Cricetulus griseus: one gene and its partners. The protein of the gene in region 1 interacts with the protein of each later gene in a pairwise test. Links are inferred from orthologs where the notes say so. Each region holds a gene or a part of one and is shown in the gene's direction. Other genes may lie near its edges.

Region 1 (6,922 bases):
ACCCAGCTTTTTTGGCACATATTATGGGGATCAAATTCTCGTCTTTGTGATTATATGAGGTGAACTATCTCACCAGCCCATCAGCATACCTTGTTAGGAGATGTACGTTTCAACCTATAACAATCTGCACTCTGGGCTTCCAAAGCTCATGCCACCCTCACACAAAAATGCATTCTCTTCTCCCTAATTCCCTCTGAGCACTAACCCATCTCAGCATCAGCTTCCAGTCCTGCTGGAGGAAGTACTTCAACCTATATCTCAGACTTTCTTGTGCTTCCTTCCCAGAGCTCTCCCGAAGATATCTGACCTAATGTTCTCAGCATGAGCAGCATCAAAACAGCGTTGGCCTCTTTTTGATAGGAAGACTTTGGTAGAAGACAGGGAAATTGTGCCTCTCTCTCAAAGCTGGTGGGGTTGGGCAGACAGCTCTGATGGGTCACCTTACCTCATGCCTCTAGGTATGTGAACACACTCCTGAAACTCATTCCGCTGGTTCTGGGACTGGAGGAACAACTGGAACAGGCAGTTCAGAATGGGGACATGGAGACCTCCCATGGCATCTGTCGCATTGCTGTGGCCCTGGGCGAGAATCATTCTCGGTAGGCAGTGGGGCAGCTGCTGGTGGGATGGCAGGGTCCATTAAAGGTTAAGGTTACGGACCCTCATTGGGGAGGTCTAGTGAGATAACTCTCCTCCCACCCCAGGGCCTTGCTAGACCAAGTAGAGCACTGGCGGAGCTTCCTGGAACTCGTCAACATGATCATGTTCTGCACTGGCATTCCTGGTCATTATCCTGTCAATGAGACCACCAGCTCCCTCACTCTCACCTTCTGGTACACACTGCAGGTATGTCTGTGTGACCACCAGACAGACTGGTCCTTCATGAAGGTGGACCATGCTTCTGTGGTTGCTGGTGAGGTGACTGACTGTCTTCCCTGGCTCTCTCAGGATGACATTCTGTCCTTTGAGGCAGAGAAGCAGGCTGTGTACCAGCAGCTGTACCGGCCAGTCTACTTCAAGCTGGTGGATGTGCTTTTGCGCAAAGCCCAGTTCCCTTCCGATGAGGAATATGGATTCTGGTCCTCAGATGAAAAGGAGCAGTTCCGAATTTACAGGTGATGGTAGCAAGTCAACCCTCACTCTAAACAGTCTTAAGTAATGAAACAAGGGAAGAGGCAATCAGCCAAGCTTACTGACTTCTGGGGATTTCTTTTCCTAGCCTTTAGGCAATTTTGCAGGGTTGTGAGGGTCCCTGGGTAGGTTCCTGGCTTATGTTAAAGACCCAAGCAGTGTAACAGGCCTTCATCTGCTTTTCAGGGTGGACATTTCAGACACGCTCATGTATGTCTATGAGATGCTGGGGGCCGAGCTGCTTAGCAACCTCTATGACAAGCTGGGCCATTTGCTCACCAGCTCAGAGGAGCCCTACTCTTGGCAGGTACCTCCCAAACCTGATTCCCTCTGCCCTCCCTAACTTGCTACACCCTCCTCCTAAGTCAAGCCAGTGGCACCCTCTTTCCCCAGCACACAGAGGCCCTGCTCTATGGCTTCCAATCCATCGCGGAGACCATCGATGTCAACTATTCTGATGTGGTGCCCGGGCTCATTGGCCTCATCCCACGGATCAGCATCAGCAACGTGCAGCTGGCAGATACTGTCATGTTCACCATTGGTGAGACCTGGCATACATCCACGACCACATTCTTAGAGCTACAGCACCCATACCTAAGCATGGCTGGCCTGCTGGGTCCCTCCAAACTGAGAGAGATACATCTCCCCCCACACAGTCAACATTGCAGCCAACTAACTGTCCTGGCAAGTCTTTTCTGCAGTGCACTGAGCTGCATCTCAGTGATGCTAGTTTGCTGTCAGTCAGTGGAGCAGCAGTGCTGGGCCTCTGTTGAGTAATCCCTTTCTGCTTTTCAGCGGTGAGGGTCATGTTTGAGCGTCAATGCCTTTATGCCCACACGGTCCTCTGATCACTCTGGATGCACTGAGGCTGTAACTTAACCATCCCTAAAGCCTTGCCTGCCTCAGAGAGCCTTCTCTTTCCCTTCTCCTCCAGGAGCTCTGTCTGAATGGTTGGCTGACCACCCCGTCATGATCAACAATGTTCTGCCCCTTGTGCTGCATGCCCTAGGCAACCCTGAGCTATCTGTGTCTTCTGTGTCTACCCTCAAAAAGATCTGCAGGGAGTGCAAATATGACCTGCCACCCTATGCTGCCAACATTGTAGCTGTCTCCCAGGTATGTGGTGCCCCCGATGGTGCTGGGTCTCAGAGTGCCCTGCTCCACCCTAATATGTTATTCTTTACTCCCAGGATGTGCTGATGAAGCAGATCCACAAGGTACGGCTCAAGCTTTCTAGGGGTCTCCTTGGATCTTTGGTGGGGAATTGCTTATTCCTAAATCCTACCCTTTTCCCTTCTCCCCACTTCACCTCTTATTCTTTGTTCTTATAATCCTCCCCAAGAGGCTCATTCTCCTTTCTACTCACAAGAAGATGTGGTCAGGTGGACCATCCCTGTTTTCTGCCCCACAGACAAGCCAGTGCATGTGGCTAATGCAGGCACTGGGCTTCCTGCTGTCAGCCCTGCAGGTGGAGGAGATCCTGAAGAACCTGCACTCACTCATCTCTCCCTACATCCAACAGCTGGAGAAGCTGGCAGAAGAGATAGTGAGTGAGCTCTGGGGACCTGGGGCAGCACTGGGACCCAGGGGTTTCTCTGTGGGCGTAGGCGTGGGGATGTTGGAATTGGCACTCAGGCTCGGTGTTGAGTGATCTGGCCCCTAGGCTGAGATTCAGAAGTCTGAAGCTTGATTTTATTCTACCCATAGCCGAATCCCTCCAACAAACTGGCCATTGTCCACATCTTGGGGCTTCTTTCCAATCTCTTCACCACACTGGATGTCAGTCATCATGAGGATGATCACGAAGGCCCTGAGCTCCGGAAGCTACCAGTGCCACAGGGACCCAACCCAGTAGGTGACATTGTCTTTGCCACTCCCCTTTCCTTGTGGGAATGTCTATCACTCTCTAACCCTGTAGATAGCGTTGGCATTGCTTCCTGACCCCATAGAGGTCATGCATTTGGTCCTTTGGCCCACCACTTTATATGTAGCCATGTCATTGCATCCCTCATCCTGTATTAGATGTTTCCCTTGTCTTCAGCCCAGTTGGGGTGATGTCATTGAGGTTTATTTGCCCCACCAGTAAGGGACACTGACATTATCCTTCAGTACCATTGAGCTGTGTAATGAGCTAATGTTTAACCCTGTCTCTTTAGGCCCTCCTACTTGAGCATTCATTGTCTGCTGCAGGCACTCAAGTTACTCCCCACTGAGAGGAGATGCACAGAAGAGATTGTTACAGGGCTGAGTGCTGAGCACCATGATAACTTAGGCATGGGTTTGGGATGACCTCTTTGCTTTTTCACTTTTGATTTTCTTTTGAGACAGAGTCTTGCTAAGTAGCCCTGGTAGCCTGGAACTTACTATGTAAATAAGACCGCCCTTGAGTCAGAGATCCTCCTGCCTCTGCCTCCCTCCAGAGTCCTGGGATCAAAGGCATTTGTAATTGGATGTTTCCTTTTTATGGTGTTAGAGATTGAACATAGGGCTCTGGACATGCTAGGCAAGCATTCTGCCACCAAGCTCCACCCCAGTCCTTGAAGTGACCTCTTATAAGCTGTCTGATTTGGGACAAGCCTCAGTTTCCCTCTTAAAGCTGTGGCTGCTGGGGTCTTCATCTGCTCTTTGCAGGACCTGGAGCTGAGGGGTCTTAAGTAAGAGAGGTTGTCAGACTGTAAAGTTCTAAACAAATACCAGGGGCTGCTCTGGTCATTGATCTTGCGTGCCCCAGACCTTCTCCTGGAAAAAAAGAAGCCAGGGACACACTGGCCTCTGTTCATCTCCACACCTCAGCTTCAGTTACCATTTGGGCTCGAGGCCAAGCCTGGGCCACCACCATCCCGCAGAGCCCCCCTTTTCTTCTGTGGCAGTCATCATCCTGCCTTCCCTATCTCCCAGGACCTCAGCCTGCTCTCTGCTCTGCCATAAGCTGCCCGTATCTACGCATCCCTTGGGGCTCCCTACCCCACGCCTGCTTGGGTGAGACAGCATCTCTTCCTCCTCAGGGGCTAGCCCATTGCTTTGGTATTTCTAAGCAGAAGTAAACAGAGAGTGAGTTTTTGTTTTGTTTTGTTATGTTTGCAAAGGTATCTCAATTTTATCAAGAGCTTAGGATGTCTCTGCTTTGAAGTTCTGAGTCTTCCTCTGAAAATGACCTACAACTCAAAATATTCTCTTTCATTGCCGGGGGGGTTAACCAATTCTTGCCCCGAGGGTCCTATGTACCACATCTCAGTGTGCAGGGTGATGGGTTGAGCCCTTTGCCCCCTGCCAGGTCCTTGGGTGGATGGCAGAGGTGGTGCCTCACTCCTCCCTGTGTGTTTAGGTGGTGGTCGTGCTACAGCAAGTCTTCCAGCTCATCCAGAAGGTGCTGAGCAAGTGGCTGAACGATGCCCAGGTGGTTGAGGTGAGCCCTGACCCTCTCTGCTCCCTAGGCTGATTTTGGCCAAATGAGCCAGAGTAAAGGATTTGGTGCCTCAATGCTTCTTGTAGTGGTCTGGAGAGAATAAGGAAGGAAGACTACAACCCTGACACACCTACCTCAGTATCACAGAAGTGCTGGGTGAAACGATAGTGACCTTAGGGCCTTAGTGACTTAGGGTGTCTGTTGTAGCACCAGAGACCTGGCTTTGTATCCTTTTGAGTTGAGATTTCGGTTGCTCTTACTGTCCCCTGAGAGGAAATGGTATCGACACGTGTCACAGGAGTTAAATGACCTAGTCTGAGTCTGTGCTCCTCTGTGGAGAGCCTTTTGCCCCTTCTTTTCAGGCTGAGGAATAGATTATTTACCTTGCTTGGTTTGAAGGGCTTTGCCAGACTTCTGGGTAAGGGCCTTTTCTTAGTCCTCCCTCCTGTGACCTGCTGACGAGGGTCTCTTTGCTTTCTTCCTCAGGCAGTGTGTGCCATCTTTGAAAAGTCTGTTAAGACACTGCTGGATGACTTTGCCCCCATGGTGCCACAGCTCTGTGAGATGCTGGGTCGGATGTATAGCACCATCCCCCAGGCCTCTGCTCTTGACCTCACTCGGCAGGTAGGCCTTCTGGTTTGGGCAATTGGTACTCCGGATGTCACCCTAGTTAGAGATCTGACCCTGGGTGGGGGGGTGTCCCTGCCCACCTGTGTTCCAGGGATGTTGATCTGTCCTGTGAGGTGGACCTCAGCTGACCACCCTTCCATCCTTTGTTGTAGCTGGTCCACATCTTTGCCCATGAGCCCGCCCACTTTCCCCCAATAGAGGCCCTCTTCCTGCTGGTCACTTCCGTCACTCTCACTCTCTTCCAGCAAGGTAAGTGCCAATTAGGGTCTCTGCTGCCGCCGCCATTGCCACTACCTCTGCTTCCTCCACTGGGGAACCAAAGCCACCCACTCTGTTCTTGATCCCCTGATCACACATGGGACTTGATGAGAAACTTGGGGATGAAGCACGGTACAATTGTTACCTCTAAGTAGTTGATTTTTTTAGATTTGAAGTGGATAAGATGGTGAATGGTATCTTTTACAGCCTGCCTGCGCTCCAGGCCAGCCTGGATACTGGGGGAAGCTGGGCTCAGACTCTGAGGGACTTGGAACACTAGTCTGGCTCAGTGCCTTTGAGATGTACTGAGAAGTTGGAGGAGCATGGGCTTTGAAACCAGGTAGACCTAGAATCTAAGCTCATCGCCACCAAACTAGTTGTGTGACCTTGGGCAAGTCACTTACCTTCACTGACCCCTGTTTCCAAATCATGTCAGGCATTCTAGTTCCTTAGGTCCTGGCTTGGGCTTTTGTATATGACATACTCAAGAGTGCCGATTCCTTTTCCCATATCAAAGTTTAGTCCTTTCTGAGCCCAAAGTTCCTCTTTCTGTGACCCTCTGTCTGAGAGAGTTGGAAACTGGCCTTCAGGTTTCCCGTCTAGCCCAGGTTCTGACCTGTGACAGAAGCAATGCTATTCCTCAGCTCCATGAGCCTAGCCTGGATTTGAGCTTTGAGGCCAGCTGGAGGTCTCAGCTGGAGCCCAGATTGCTCCCATCTCATACTGTTAATGCCTGGTCCTTTGTGGACCATGGAGCAGATCCAAAGTGGAAAGAAACCTAGTGTGACTGTCCTCAACTCCACCTCTTCCACTACTTGTAGCCCTTTTCTGAATGAGTCCTAGTGATCTTGGATCTGTTCTTCCTCAGTGTGTTCACTCCTTACCATCCATGAGCCCTTCCTCAGTTTAGGCTCAGCTTCACCTAAATTAACTCTATAACCTCTTATGTGCTCACCTGTCCCTGTCTCCAATCCAGCCAACATACAGCAGTCACATTGTACTTCACAAAATAGTCATATGATCAATCACATTTCCTCTCTGGCCTTAAGCCCTTCAAATGCTGCCCATTGCCCTCAGGTTGTTGTCACATTCCCATATGACTAAGTCTGGTGTATCTGTAATGTTCTCTCTTGAAGGGAGCAATCCAGCCACACCCCTGTGCCCTGCTCCTCCAATGGAAAAGTGCTACGCCCTTGACTGGGTGAGCTCTCACTCTTTTGTGCCTTAGTTAGAAGGCAGGCATTACTCCTCAGACAAGTGACTCTGAGGTACAACTGGATTTTAGCTATGTGCTAAAACTATGCCATACTTACACCGCCAATGAAGCACAGGCCATGAAATGGATAACCTCCAAATGCCTGTCTCTTCATAGACTGAACTCCCCAGAGGCAGGAAAGCATCTCCTCTCCTACATTCTCAGACACTTGAACCAAGGAGAGTTCCCAGCCCCAGAACCTTTCTTCCACACTATCTGGCCCAAGCAGGAAGGGAACCGAA
Region 2 (6,021 bases), on another chromosome or scaffold:
ACACATCATCCACACACAAACTCTGCTCTTGTCCGGGGCAATGCACAGGAAGTAGCCCGTGTCCCAGCTGTGCAGGAAAGTACTGGAACTAGGCATCCCAGTGGAGCTGGGCAACAGCCAGATCCTCATCTTGAAAGAGAAACTTGGGGCTGGGCCTGGTGATGCAGCCTTTAATCCCAGCGCTCTGGAGGCAGAGGCAGGCGGAGCTCTGTGAGTTCAAGGCCAGCCAGAGCTACACAGAGAAACCCTGTCTGGGAAAAGAAGAGAAGGAGGAAGAAGAGTGAAGGAAAGGAAGAGGGAGTGGGGGAACAGAAAGCCGTGGTAGTGAAGTGGGGCTGGAGAGACCGATGGCAACATGGCAGCTCTCAACTATCTTTAAGTCTAGGCCCAGGCACCCAGTGCCCTCTTCCATCTCTAGGGGCACCAGACATGCACATGCTACACACACACACACACACACACACACACACACCACACACACACACACACACACACACACACACACAGGCAGAGCACCCATGCACATAAAATGGAAAAATCTCAGAGTAGTACACACGCCTGGTGGAGAGTGGCCTCAGCATCATCCAGGTCTGCAAGGAAGGTGGCTGCCCTCCTTGCAGAACAGAGAGCCAGAGTTTTTGGGGCCTTCTTCCTGTTTTTTTCAGTTAGGTTAGGTGGGGTTTTAAGCCAGGTCTCACCTAGCTCAGGCTGACCTGGAACTTACTGTGTTGCCCAGCATGACCTTGAGTTCACAGTAATCCTCCTGCTTCAGCCCCCCACTCTAGGGTAGCAGGTGTGAGCCATCAAGCCCAGTGTCTTTTATTTTAGTGGTGGTTATTTTTTATATTTATGTATTTATGTTTTATATTTATGTATTTCTTATTTGTGTGTGTGTGCACACTCCATGCATTAATCCATGTCCCTATCACTGTGTGTGGTGCCTGTCACTGAAGGAATGTGGAAATCAGAAGACAACGTGTTTCTCTACTTCCTCCATGTGGCTCCTAGGAATTGAATTCGGGCCACAGACTTGGCAGCAAGCCCCTTTATCTAGTAAGCCTTCTCTGCAGTCCCATCCTCTTTTTTTGTTTTGTTTTGTTTTGGGTTTTTGTTTTTTTGTTTTGTTTTTTTCCGAGACAGGGTTTCTCTGTGTAGCCCTGGCTGTCCTGGATCTCACCCTGTAGACCAGGCTGGCCTGGAACTCACAGAGATCACCCTGCCTCTGCCTGGAAGGAGTGTGCCACCACCACCTAGCAAGCATGCCCACACCAGGACTGCATCCATTGTCTGTGCATCTGTCCACAGGTCTCTAACTGGTTCGGCAACAAGAGAATCCGATACAAAAAGAACACGGGGAAGTTCCAGGAAGAGGCCACCATGTACACTGAGAAGACATCTACGGCCACCAAAGTCCGGGGTTCAGGGGGCCAGAGCAGCTGCCAGTCCACACCCAGCCCAGGTGACAAGGCCATGGCCTCCATAATTGTAAGCTTTGGGGGTTTGGTTGACTCACACTACCCGGACCTAGACAGCCAGTGCCAGCAGAGGGACAAGAGCATCACCTTAGCCTCACGGGCCAGCGTCACCCACACAGGGCTAGGGGAAGAGCAGGTGGCTACATGCTTTAGGGAGTCAGCTCTAGAGTCCCTTTTAATGAGGGACTGGGCAGTTGCCACCCAGAAATCCCTGTGACTGCTGGCCCAGCTTCTGCAGTGACTCACACCCTCCACCCCCACCATGCCAACCTGACTCCACCCACTCCTCACAGGTTCCTGTGGCCCCTTCCCCCTGACCAGTGGAGGTGACATGGTTCTCACCCTTCGGACCCTGGCCTTCCTCCAGCCCCCACCTGGGGGAGTCTGCCTCCAGCCCCCGGTGAGTCAGCTGCAGCCACCTAGGGACCCCTCTAGGGCTTTGGGAAAGTAGAGGAACCCTGATGCTGAGTCTCCAGAGAAGGAGAGTGGTTAGCCTCTGGACTCAGAGCCATCTGTCACTGGGGACTGGAGACATGGGAGAGGGCGTCTCACCCTGAAAGGGCAGCAGCTGCCAGACTGGGGTTTCGTCACTGGGGTCTAAACAGCCAAGCTACCTCTAGAGATTTCTCAGGGTATCATCTGAATCCTTTGTAGGTCCTGTGACCTCCCAGTCTGTCCTGAGCCTCCTCTGAAAGGCCTGTGAGGGCACTGCATAAACAGAATGAAGCCTGGCATGGTGGCACTGGCCATGGCCCCATGAGTCCCATGGGATTCCCAGAAGCCCCCTCTGAACCAGACCTGGGGCTCAGGACAGTGGTGGGCCTGGCTCACTCTGGCCCTGCCTGCCATCACTGTGAGACCCAGCCTGACACAATCTACAGGCTGCAAAGTAGTCTGGGCCTGCTTCTCACATACCTGGAGCTGAGGTGCTCTGGAACAGAACCAGCAGGGGTAGGGGAGAAACTGGAGGGAGGCAACAGGCTGCCTGCCCTGGACAGCACAGAGCAGATGGAGGGTCAGACCTGGGGTGATGCCACACCCTGCAGGCACCCCACCTGCACCTCCATTAATTTTCAGCTAAAATGTGATCCAAACAAACCCTTTTTTTGTTTGTTTGCTTGTTTGCTTTTTTGAGACAGGGTCTCTATGTAGCCCTGGCTGTCCTGGAACTCACTATGTAGACCAGGCTAGCCTCAAATTCACAGAGGCCTCCTGCCTCTTTCTCCTGAGGGCTGAGATTTCCAAGCCAACATTTCTGTCCCTCTGTTCACCTGGCTCTTCTTAAAGGTCACTCTGCCTGCATGGCCACTGTCCGTTACGTGGGTGCTTCTGCGCATGCCTGCATGGCCTCACTCATAGAACCTCAGCCACACTGCTCTGCTTGGTACAAGTGTTCCCTGAGCTCAGCACGCTCGTCCAGCTGTCCTCAGACAGATGGGCAGAGCAGCTCCAATGTGCACTGTGCCCATGCACACTACAGACAGGAAGGAGGCTGCCTGTGAGGAAGGGCTCTTGTCCATGAGCCATGGCTGTTCCATAGGCCACTGTGGCTAGACTCTTGGTTCTGACACACTGTTAGGTATTTCATGGAGGGTTAGGGGCTCAGTAGCCCCCTTCACCCCACTGCTCAGCCAGCTCTTTCTGAGACTCATCTGCTAGAAAGTTGTGAGTAACCCTGGGGACACAGGGACTGGCTGATCACCTATGTTCACACTCTGTCTTTCCAGACCCACAGCAGCTGGCAGAGAGCCACCGCCCCACAGCCACCCTCATCACCTGCTGGAGACTCTGGAAGCTTCAACTCAGATGTGTCTAATTAAGTTTTGGGTACCTGGTTGAGTGCCATGGATGACTGGCCCTGTGTCCTGCCAATTACCTCAGAAACCCTGGCTGTGGCAATACCCTTTTCCTGGCCACTTACGTACCTACCTTGGAGTGATTTTTAAACAACAGTATGTTGGTTGACAGTGGATTGTTCATCTAGGGCTTTGTTCTGAGCACCTTATTAAAGTGTTTGACTTGTCTGCATTCCAGTGTTTTCACTCCAGGCTTGTCTGGGTGATAGGTGACAACCTAGATTCCGTCACCAGCTCTAACCCTCCTGGCCCCTGCTTTGATTCGGAACTGGTTCAGTATTTGTTTCAGCTAAAAGGGGCTGTGAGGCCGCGTTCCCACCATGTGAGGCCTTGTCCCCTCAGCGGCAGCTAAGGGGCCTCCTCTCAGCCTTCATCTGAGAGCCACCTACCAGTATCCCCGTGGCCCTGACCCCACCCTGTCAGCCACCATCACAACAGTGACAACATCCTGGGAAAAGCCCATGGCAAATGGGAACCATCCTGTCTCTGGGACCCAGGCAGCTGCACTCTGCCACTTATCTGCACATGTGACCCTGCTGATTCTGGGGGCTGAGAAGTGGCTTTCAGCTGTCACCTGTAGTGACAGAACACTGTCATCCACCAAAGGATGCCAGTGTCTCCCCACCCACTTCCCCAACGCCTGGTAGCCACTCACCTGGACTCACCTGCTATTAAGTGTCAGTGAGCCACACACTCCACGTGGCCGTCTATATCTAGCCCTGTCACTGGTATTTTTTAGTTTTGCTGCATTGTAGAATGGATCAGAGTGTCTTTTTAATTTTTTTGGGGGGGGTTGCAGACACGGTTTCTATGTGTAGTCCTGGCTGTCCTGGAACTCACTCTGGAGACCGGGCTGGCCTTGAACTCAGAGATCCACCTGCCTCTGCCCCATGAGTGCTGGGATCAAAGATGTGCGCCACCACTGCCCCACCTGGCTTCAGCCAGTGTTCGTAACTACTGAGATATCCTTCCAATTCCCAGAGCCTCATTCTTGTTCACAGCTGAGCAACACCATAGAGGAAGGTACCTTAGGAGACACCCCAGCTGAGGTGCAGGGCTGCTGAAGGCAGTGGTCACTGTCACTGATCACTGTCCCCTTCATACCCTTTGGGTGCACAGCCTTGGATTGAACACCTTCCCAGCTACTCTTGAGCTGCATGGAAAAAACTTCAGATTCTGGAAACTTCTCTGGGTGAGCTGAGCACACGAACAGGTGGAGAAGAGTGTTGCCTGCACAGACCTGGCAAAAGCCAGCATCATCCTAAAGCTGTTGACCACCTCACTTTGAGACTCCCACAGTCCCTGTGAGCCCTACCCAGATCATAAGTTTTCTTGGCCTTTGAATGGAGAACTAACTGAGTGAGGATTTCTCAGGAAAACTGGCTCAAGGAAGGGAGATTGAAGAAGAGTCATGCAAATAAGGTGCAAATTTAATGCAAATGGGTGGGATCATGCAAATTATAGAAACATAACAGAAGAGGATTTTGGGAGACAGGAGCTGCATGACAAAATTGAGAAGGATGACCTGCATTCCTTGTGGGATTAGCTCAGGAACTTCCACCCACACAGGCCTCCAGCAATCTCCAGTGGATGGAATTAGGACAGCAGCTTTCTTTCCCAGTTCCCCAAGCATACTCTGGAGTCCCCAAGGATCCCCTCCCTGACCACCCTCAAGTCGCAGGGGATAATAAGCAGGGCTGGCTGAGGGAAGGGGTCAAAGTTCAGGACTCCCACTCTCTTCCTCCACCACATTTTCTTGGCATGTTACCCAGACAATCAGTCCTGCTAACGAAACTGAGACGCCAGGAATGAGTAGGGATAGGGCCTGGGTCTTACTGGAGAGGGCAGGTTTTACCTTCAAGAATTTCCATGATGACATCGTGGGTGCATTCAAGCCCCCTGCTGCCATGGCGGATGACAGGGTGAGAGAGAGAGTGACCAGAATCAACCAAAAGCAGGAGGGACCATAGGGGACCTCGAACAGGTTGCAGTTATCTCTTTAGCCACAAGGGGGAGCAGTCAACCTAAAAAAAACTAAATCCTGCCGCCAGACTCCACCAACCATCTAAACAGATTGAAAGGAAACCTCTGAGCCTCAGTTTCTCTATCTGTAACGTGGGGACGTCACAAGAACAGCCTTCCGAGAGGTCAGCATCCAACACACAGATGATAACTGTAAAGCACGACTGTTGGGCTGAGCCCAAGGGGCTGGGGACTAGCAAAGGCCCAGGTGTTCCAGGAACCGGGAACATGGAGGCAGAACTGCCCTTCCTGCCCTAAGGCCAGCGAGCCAGCGCTTCCTGGGGGAAGGGGACTCGGACTACAAAGGGATGAGTCCCTCGGCAGCAGGGTGATGCAAGTAGATGGGGTTGGGGTGGGAGCGGGGTGCTCGACCTGTTCTCCCAGGACACCCAGGTCGCCAGTATCAGGCCTGCTATAGCTGCCCCCACCCAGCAGCAGGTGGCCTGCCAGCGACATTCCTCAGTGCCGGGCGCCAGGCAGCCGCTCCTGCCGGATGAAAGTGGGCCTGGCCGCGTGGGACTCGTGTTTTTCCAGCAGCTTCTTCAGCCACAGCCTGACCACAACCTAGATTCTGTAGGGCTAGCCACTTCGTGTTTGTGTTCAGCCTGGCCAGACAGTAGCAGGGCCAGGCCGGGGGCCCTGGCCTCCCAGAAGGTCTGGCTGCCCAG
Region 3 (7,705 bases), on another chromosome or scaffold:
TGAGGGAAATGGAGTTGAATTTCAAGTGGAAATGCTTTCTTTTTCGAGTGCTAAGAAACCTGGCCTTTCATTAATGATGCTTTCTGGAAAGTTTAAAAACAAAGTGAGTTCTCTCTCTCTCTCTCTCTCTCTCTCTCTCTCTCTCTCTCTCTCTCTCTCTCTCACACACACACACACACACACACACACACACACACACACACACACACACACTTCTAAGCCATTTTGGACGGTAAACTCGAACTTGGGAAGGGTTGAAAAGGAGATAGGAGCAGAAAAATGAAATGGAAAGCTAAAATGCGTGAAAGCCTAGCAAGCTAACCGGAGAAAGAATAACTGTTTTCACTGACTGAGGAGTTGCTGGTGATCTTTGCATATATTTGAAAGCAATTGATTCGTTGTTATCATTTGGCCCTGGAGAGTAAACGTTGTCATCTTAATTGCTAATTTCTAGGAGGGGAATCACTAGGGGAGAAACCAAGTTTCTCCTAACACTTCAGCTAAGGAATATGGGGTTAGATTTTGAAATCTAAATGATTAAAACAACTGCATAGTGTGAAAGCTCTGGCTTGTGTTGGGGTCAGAGAGTGGGGAGGGTGGGTGTCCAGTGGACTTGTGGACCAAGACCTTGTAGCCTTGGAGATTTCTGGAGACTTCTTCATTCCTGATAAAGGTCTATGTCCCCTCTAAGGCAAAGGGGTCTAGCTTCTCTAAGAACAGGACTGCTTCCGGGTTTGGGGTGTGCCCTGCTTCCCAGGGTGCTTTTTGCACTGAGTGTTAACGATTACTTAGGTAATTAGATAGCTTCTTAGAGGAGAGGAGGGTGGGAACCAAGCAAAACCGGAACCTGAAATGCTATCACCTTCCCTGTTGCTTGGAAAAGTAATCAGCTAGCTCTTTCAGTGACCAGCTAGACAATTTTCTAAAATGGCATTGTGGAGGTCCCAGCCAGGATGTGGACATAAGGCTGTGTAAAATGTGGTTAGAGAGGCACTCAGGAAGTTTTGCTGTTCCAAGCAGAATTCTGCCCCATCTCTATCCACCTGCTACCCTTTGCAGCTTAAGTCCTATATGTAGGTAGGATGGACATTTTGTTCTGGGTGGGATTTCCATTCATGACATGATCTTGGATTCAGGAACTGACCTAGAGATAGGGAGGCTTTAGGAGACCCAACCTCGTTTCGGGTACCTAGCTCTCTGGTATGTCCTGTCATAATCAGACACTGAAAAAAAGTCCCCATGCTGAACTTATTTTTATGGCTGCCTCTCAGTTATTTAAAAGTTAGGTCATAAAATGTCTTGAAGAGAAAAATGTATTTCTTGGAATTATTTGTAGAGTGGCAAAATTAACCATCATCACAGTCCAACACAGGAAAAAGAATGATTTCTTAAAATAAAACAAAAATGATGCTGTGACTATTTCATTATTTTAACCCTCCCTTTTTCCTGGGCAAACCTCTTGAATGGGCTCTTTATTGTAACTCTCCCTTCCCAATTGAGCTCCCCACGGTGCCCTTGTATCTTTTTACAGCCCCTAACAACTCACACCAGCAACACAATTACCTCCAGATATTTATAACAAGAAATTACTATTTTTCCACCTCTCTTCCAAGAACCCTCTTTTTTTGCGGGAAGGTAGGGAGGGTGAGCAGGTTGGAAGCATTGGAGGGTACTATAGTGGGTCAGGACTTCAATGAGAAGAGTCCATCTTTTCCCTTTGTGAGTTGGAGAGTTGTGGTTCCTTTGCTTGGACCTGGTGTTGCTGGTTTGAGAGTCTCAGCTTTGCTCTTTGGGTTTGGGGAAAGCTGCGGAATAGAAGCCATTGTTCGGTGTCTGTAGACTTTGTAGACCGTGTTCACCCCCTCCTGTTTGTAGTTTTTAAAGCAGTGAGGCGAGGTAGACAGCAAGTGTCACAGTACAGGAAAGGAGAGAAAGAGCTAAACACTAAAAGCAAAGTTAATTACAATAAATGAGGTTTAGGGTAAAAAGTTGGGCTCACCACTTGCTAAGTCCTGAAAGAGCTGAGAGATTGGTTGTGGGGGTCTGACCAGAAGACTTTGGGGGTAGGGTGGGGGGAGTGAAGGATAAAAGAGTAACTAACCAAAGAACTTAAGTTCTAGGGATCTTGGGACAACTGAGGTGCTGAAATTCCTTAGGAATGGAGGGAGTCTGGTCTGAGGCTCACTCCCGAGACTTCTCTAACCCAAGCGGGCGCTCAGGCACCACCAAGACCTTAAGATTCCTTTCACCTCCACACTTCAGGGGTTAGTTGCTTTCCTTACCCAGTTCGGTTTCTACTCCACTCTTGGCTTTTCGGATTTAAGCCCTCCTCTTTCCCTGGTGCTTATTAGTTTTGCAAAGCGAGACCACAACTCTAGTCTCCCCAATTCACCCAACCAAGCCTAGCCAAAGCACCGTTTCCGAAGGATGTTGGTGTCTGTAGGAGAGGCCACTGCAAGTGTGACGCCTTAGTGTTTCCAAGCAGAAGGAGCCAACCCTGGATTCACTGTGGGTTGAGAGTGGGCCTCAGACTACCAGTCAACCTATGTGTTGGGGCCAAGCTGACATATACCTTTCTTTCCCTCTGTTTTATCTCAGGCAGAAGACTTTAACTAGAGGTGAGCAGATGTGTGAGATCTTCTATTCTAAGAGTGGACATACATCTCAGTTTTCAGGCAAGTTCTATGATGCTGTTTGGGGCTTCACATTCTGAAAGAGTTTTTTAAAAAACCATAGTTCTGGTAGACCCCCCCCCCAAAAAAAAAACTGGGATCATCGTTTGTTCTGATTAAAAGGCTAAGAACAAAAATATTTGAGGAAACTGATTGTGAATGTTAGATTATTTTATCCGTAGCTCCCAAAGTACATTTTGCATGCATAGGAGAACAGGGCTAGCTGACCCTCAGATCGCCCCAAGCGGTTGAGTAGCTCAATTTCTAAGAAAAGGAGGAATCTCCAGTGCAGGCACCACCAGGTCTTCCTCAGTAGGAGTGCAGGCCTACCTGTGCAAAGCCGGGGATTAACTCCAATTTTCTTACTAACAGAGCCCCGCATTCGAGCCCCGTGGGACCCGGAGGCCGCCAACCAGCGCCAGCATGCAGAACAGTGAGTGTCTCGGGTCTTTCCCTGGACTCTTGGGCTGGAGGCGTGCCGACCGGTTAGGGGGGTACACAGAGTCTTGGGCCCTGGGGACTCCAGGCCACTGGGCGAGAGGGAGGAGGCCTGGGGAATTTATTTGGGCTGCACGCGTTGAGTGCCAAGTAGCCAGCGAGGGAGGGTAGGGAGGCATTTGCTCTGCTGTGCTCTAGAAGGGAAGAAGCTGGGGCTCTTCAAAACTACTGGCCCGAGTTTTTGAAGCTGCGGTGGAGAAACCCCATCCCCCCAAATCCTGTAACTCATACCCCCTCCCCGCCCCTGCCCGGGCTCTGACCCCAGAGAGGGGGGCTGGGCTGAGTAGGGCGGGGCAAAGGCTTCTCCTGAGAAGAGAAGGAGGCCCCTTTGGGCTTGGCCAAGACTGAACATCTCCTACGACCCTGAGGGGTGTGTGTGTTGGGGGGCCTTCCCTCCCCTAGTCAATCTTAGGCCAGCTCCTCCCCTCCCCTTCCCCCCCTAGCTATAGGCCTAAAAGGGAAGGGGAGTGGAGCACCCAGGGCCAGTGATGGGGAGACCCCCCCAGCCCCGCATAAGGTGTTGAAAGCAGGGTTTATTGGGGCTGGTCAGGAATTGGGAAAACCTTGCACTAGCAAGTGCAGCTACGTGGGTCCTCGTTGATCCAGTCTCTTAGTACCTTTGATTCCACAGCCTTTGTGCCTTTCTCTAACCTTTGGCCAGGCCCTTTGGGGCCTAACCTTTCTGCTTAGCCAATGGCTGCTGGTATATGACAGAGTTAAGCCAAAAAAAAAAAAAAAAAAAAAAAATTCAAGCCTGGCAGCTAGTGAAACTAGGCCGGGTTAGGGTTAGGGAGTCTACACAGGCTTAAGGATACAACTGTGCTTGGGCGTGTAGAGAGGCCTAGGTCTTCTAGAAACATGCAGTTATGGAGCTGTACTGGCTTAATAGAGTTCCCAGCAGCTCGGGTCCACGTTCTGTAATAGCTGGCTGCCCTGATGATGCCACAGGATGGGGTGGGGGGGCTAAACTCAGGAAAGAGATCAAAGATGGGTGCTTTGCAGCTGTGTTTCTACAGAACCTGTCAGATCCTAGGGCTTGGCCCAGGAGGCACTTTCCTTGGCGAAGCGAATACCATGGAGCTCTGACTCTCTTGCCTTAGGTTTTCAGGTGGGCAGAGGCGCTCAGCCACAAGCGTTTGCCCCTCCACCATGACCTGGCTGGCAGGCCCAGAGGGGCACGGGTCGCGGGTTGGCCTGTAGGCTTTGTGTGGCTGGTTCCCGAGTGTGCGCAAGGCGCAGAGCATCCAAATTGACACCATATGTTTTCCTATTAGAAGCTTTGCGGTCGAATTCTAGGCGCATAATCATCGCCACTGGGCGAGAACGCCAGCAGTCCCTAGGGAAGGGACACAATGATTGAGGCTTAACCTCTAAAGGGGAATTTAGAGCTATGTTTCCTCGCTGCCATTTCGATGCTGGCAGAGGCACCCTGGCCCAGTGTCTCTCGGACCAGCACATGCGGGCTGCAGCTGTGGAGGTACTTACTGGCCACGTTATTTTTGCAATAAAGGAGGAGGAAAAAAAAATCTACGATTAGAGGCCTTGTATGCTCTAGCATCTGTAGACTAGGAATTATCCTGGCTGCTGCTTGGAAAGTTTCTCTGAGATGGCCTTTCCTTTTTGAGAAGGTTTGCCCAGAGACCGGCCTCCATAAATTGCATGGTAAATGAGACTTAGAAAACCAACGTGGACGATAAAGAAAATTAAAGAGAAACCGGAAGCGCAGGGTAGGCCTTGCTATGTTGGAGAAGCGACCTGTCTCCTGCAATGTGCAATGTACCCTCTTGCACTGGCCCGGCCCGGCCGGAGCCCAGATCCCTAAACGCCTGTCACTTCTCATCCAATTGAGGCCCCGCCCCCCCTCGGTGAGCTATAACCCCCCTCCAGCCCCAAGCCTCGGGCTACCCAGAAAACGCAGCTCCCCTCGAAGGGGAGACGAGTACAGTTCATTCTCGTCTGAGTGATCTACAAATAGGGACGGAAAGGGTCGTTTTATCACGGTCCCGTTTGTCGTGACGATGCAATTTCCCGGAGCGGAGCACTGTCACAAAGTGACAAGGCTGCCACAAGCGCCCCGACTGATCTTTTCAATTAGCCTTCCATGCATGATCCGGAGCGACTTCCGCCTATTTCCAGAAATTAAGCTCAAACTTGACGTGCAGCTAGTTTTATTTTAAAGACAAATGTCAGAGAGGCTCATCATATTTTCCCCCCTCTTCTATATTTGGAGCTTATTTATTGCTAAGAAGCACAGGCTCTTGGAGTCAATTTATCAGGAGGCTCCAAGGAGAAGAGAGAGAAGAGAGGAGAGAAGAGAGGAGCTGGGAACCACATCTTCTCCTGAGAGGGCTTCTGTCTAGAAACGGGGCTGCAGGTTGGAGATGTCTGAGGAAGTGGCAAGAGGGGACTGGTTTTATTTGTATGCTGTTGTTTCCGAGGAGGATAATTCAGGGAGGCGCTCCTTCCTCGCCCTAGTCTCTAAGACCAGACAATGGGCTGAGGTTGTGAGATAAGAGTTGAAGGAGGGACGGGTGACACTGTGATGTGGTCCTTTTCTCTTTCTGTTTTGGGTTTCTGTTAGTTAATATTGCGTCTTTGGCTGAGGGGGAGGGCGGAGTTCAGCAGTGGAAGTGAAGCGAGTAGCGGTGCAAAGACTCCAGGCTTTGCTCCCCAATTGGGGCAGGCAGACCACTATGTGGATGGGGGTTTCCAATCCTATGTTTGGTGTGGAGGAACGGATTGGGGTTCGCTAGCTACACATTTATCTTTCGGGTCATTTTCTCTACACACACACACACACACACACACACACACACACACACACACACACACACACACACAGAGCTATATGCTGTGCGCCTCTGCCAGAGCTAAATCACGATGCAAAGGTTTTATGACGTTTTGCGCCCAGCCATTACAAGGCTTGGGATTTGCTGTGCTGTTATAACAGGGCCGAGACTGCAGTGTGGACTCTGTGGTGACACTTAGAGGTGATGCTTAGGGAGAAGATTTTAAGAACTGTTGTTTGCCTCTTATGGGTTCCAAGCAGGTCTGGAGTGCTTATGAAGGGGGCAATGGGCTCAGGGAACTGTTAGGTGAAGGTGATACTGGGTGGATATGTTCCTGAGTATCTTCCCCAGTCTGACAACAGGTCAATGGGCAGGATCAGTCTGTATTTGAGGCTGGGCTACCCAATGCCCTGCATGGCTGGTGGTCCTGTTGTGTTGTTGTTGTTGTTGTTTTAATTTTAAACCAGGACCTGATTGCTGAGGTTCGCACAGGTTGGCAGGGAGCTGAGGTTGCATTGTTCTTCTTCTTCTTCTTCTTCTTCTTCTTCTTCTTCTTCTTCTTCTTCTTCTTCTTCTTCTTCTTCTTCTTCTTCCTCTTCCTCTTCTTCTTCTTCTCTCTTCCCTCTACTTCTCTTCTTGCTCTCCTCTCCTCCTCCTTTCCTCAGGTCACAGCGGAGTGAATCAGCTTGGTGGTGTCTTTGTCAACGGGCGGCCACTGCCGGACTCCACCAGGCAGAAGATCGTAGAGCTAGCTCACAGCGGGGCCCGGCCGTGCGACATATCCCGAATTCTGCAGGTGATCCTCCCGTGGCTGCCCCACTCGCCGCCCCTTCCCCCGCCCTCACAGCCCTCCACTTTAAATGTCCTCTCTTCATTTCTTACTGTAAACGCTACTAAGAATGGACCCCTACCCTCACCCACTTCATCCCTACCAACTCCCCTACCTCCCGGCTCTTCCCTCTCCTTCCACCATGGTCCCTGTCTCTTTCAACCTCAATCAGTCAGTTACATAAGATAATTCATCCTTGTAAGGAAAAAGTGTGTGAATTAAAAAATATATATATATATATATATATATATATATATATATATATATATCTTTTCATTTGGTAAAGACATTCATTATGGTAACAGTATATAAACTGTAATGAGCCAAGTTATATAAATTGGGATAATCTCACTCCCCTCTCCCCATCCCTCACTAACCTCAGATTTTGAGAGATTTGTTTGCATTCTTCATGCACATGAAGAATGTATATGGATTTTAGAAGGCAGTTGCTATTTAACCCTCTAATTCACATTCACATTCAAATTTAAGGGAAAAAAGGTAAAAATGCAATTATTTTTCCTTTTGTTCTTTACAATTTAATACTACTCAAAGCAAACTCTCCACACATACATACACACACACACACACACACACACACACACACACACACACACACTTAACCTGACTTCGTTTTAATGAATCTTCACACAGTGTTTAGGAAAATAGTTTAAAAAGCTTTTTAAAACAATTCAAAGTGTTTGAAAGTATCATTATATTTGTAGTTTTAGGGCTACAAATGTAATTTTAAGAAAAAAAAAGCTCTCTACAGTAAGTTCTCATACCATTGAAGGTATATTTTTGTGTTATAGACCCATGCAGATGCAAAAGTCCAAGTGCTGGACAATGAAAACGTAAGCTTGTCATTGTTTAATGCATACTTAAACAATTTTATTTTTGTCTTGAAATTATTAATAATG

Evidence for each region.
Region 2: the proteins of Ipo13 (region 1) and Pbx4 interact in binary tests that used the Homo sapiens proteins (3 or more experiments, as listed by UniProt). The link is inferred for Cricetulus griseus from reciprocal best matches to the Homo sapiens genes IPO13 and PBX4.
Region 3: the proteins of Ipo13 (region 1) and Pax6 interact in a two-hybrid assay, tested with the Homo sapiens proteins (2 studies listed by BioGRID and IntAct). The link is inferred for Cricetulus griseus from reciprocal best matches to the Homo sapiens genes IPO13 and PAX6.

The regions. Positions count from the first base shown.
Region 1 is NC_048595.1:34,418,118-34,425,039, forward strand, and holds part of Ipo13 (importin-13), read left to right. Parts: intron 1-458; coding exon 459-599; intron 600-704; coding exon 705-846; intron 847-948; coding exon 949-1,115; intron 1,116-1,317; coding exon 1,318-1,438; intron 1,439-1,524; coding exon 1,525-1,672; intron 1,673-2,065; coding exon 2,066-2,247; intron 2,248-2,321; coding exon 2,322-2,348; intron 2,349-2,542; coding exon 2,543-2,677; intron 2,678-2,838; coding exon 2,839-2,982; intron 2,983-4,456; coding exon 4,457-4,537; intron 4,538-5,023; coding exon 5,024-5,161; intron 5,162-5,319; coding exon 5,320-5,416; intron 5,417-6,922. UniProt on the Homo sapiens protein: Functions in nuclear protein import as nuclear transport receptor. Serves as receptor for nuclear localization signals (NLS) in cargo substrates.
Region 2 is NW_023276806.1:249,103,846-249,109,866, reverse strand, and holds the end of Pbx4 (pre-B-cell leukemia transcription factor 4), read left to right. Parts: intron 1-1,305; coding exon 1,306-1,459; coding exon of another isoform or gene 1,460-1,485; intron 1,486-1,768; coding exon 1,769-1,875; intron 1,876-3,202; coding exon 3,203-3,295; 3' UTR 3,296-3,503; downstream 3,504-6,021.
Region 3 is NC_048599.1:72,002,306-72,010,010, reverse strand, and holds the start of Pax6 (paired box protein Pax-6), read left to right. Parts: upstream 1-3,095; coding exon 3,096-3,105; intron 3,106-6,624; coding exon 6,625-6,842; intron 6,843-7,597; coding exon 7,598-7,639; intron 7,640-7,705. UniProt on the Homo sapiens protein: Transcription factor with important functions in the development of the eye, nose, central nervous system and pancreas. Required for the differentiation of pancreatic islet alpha cells.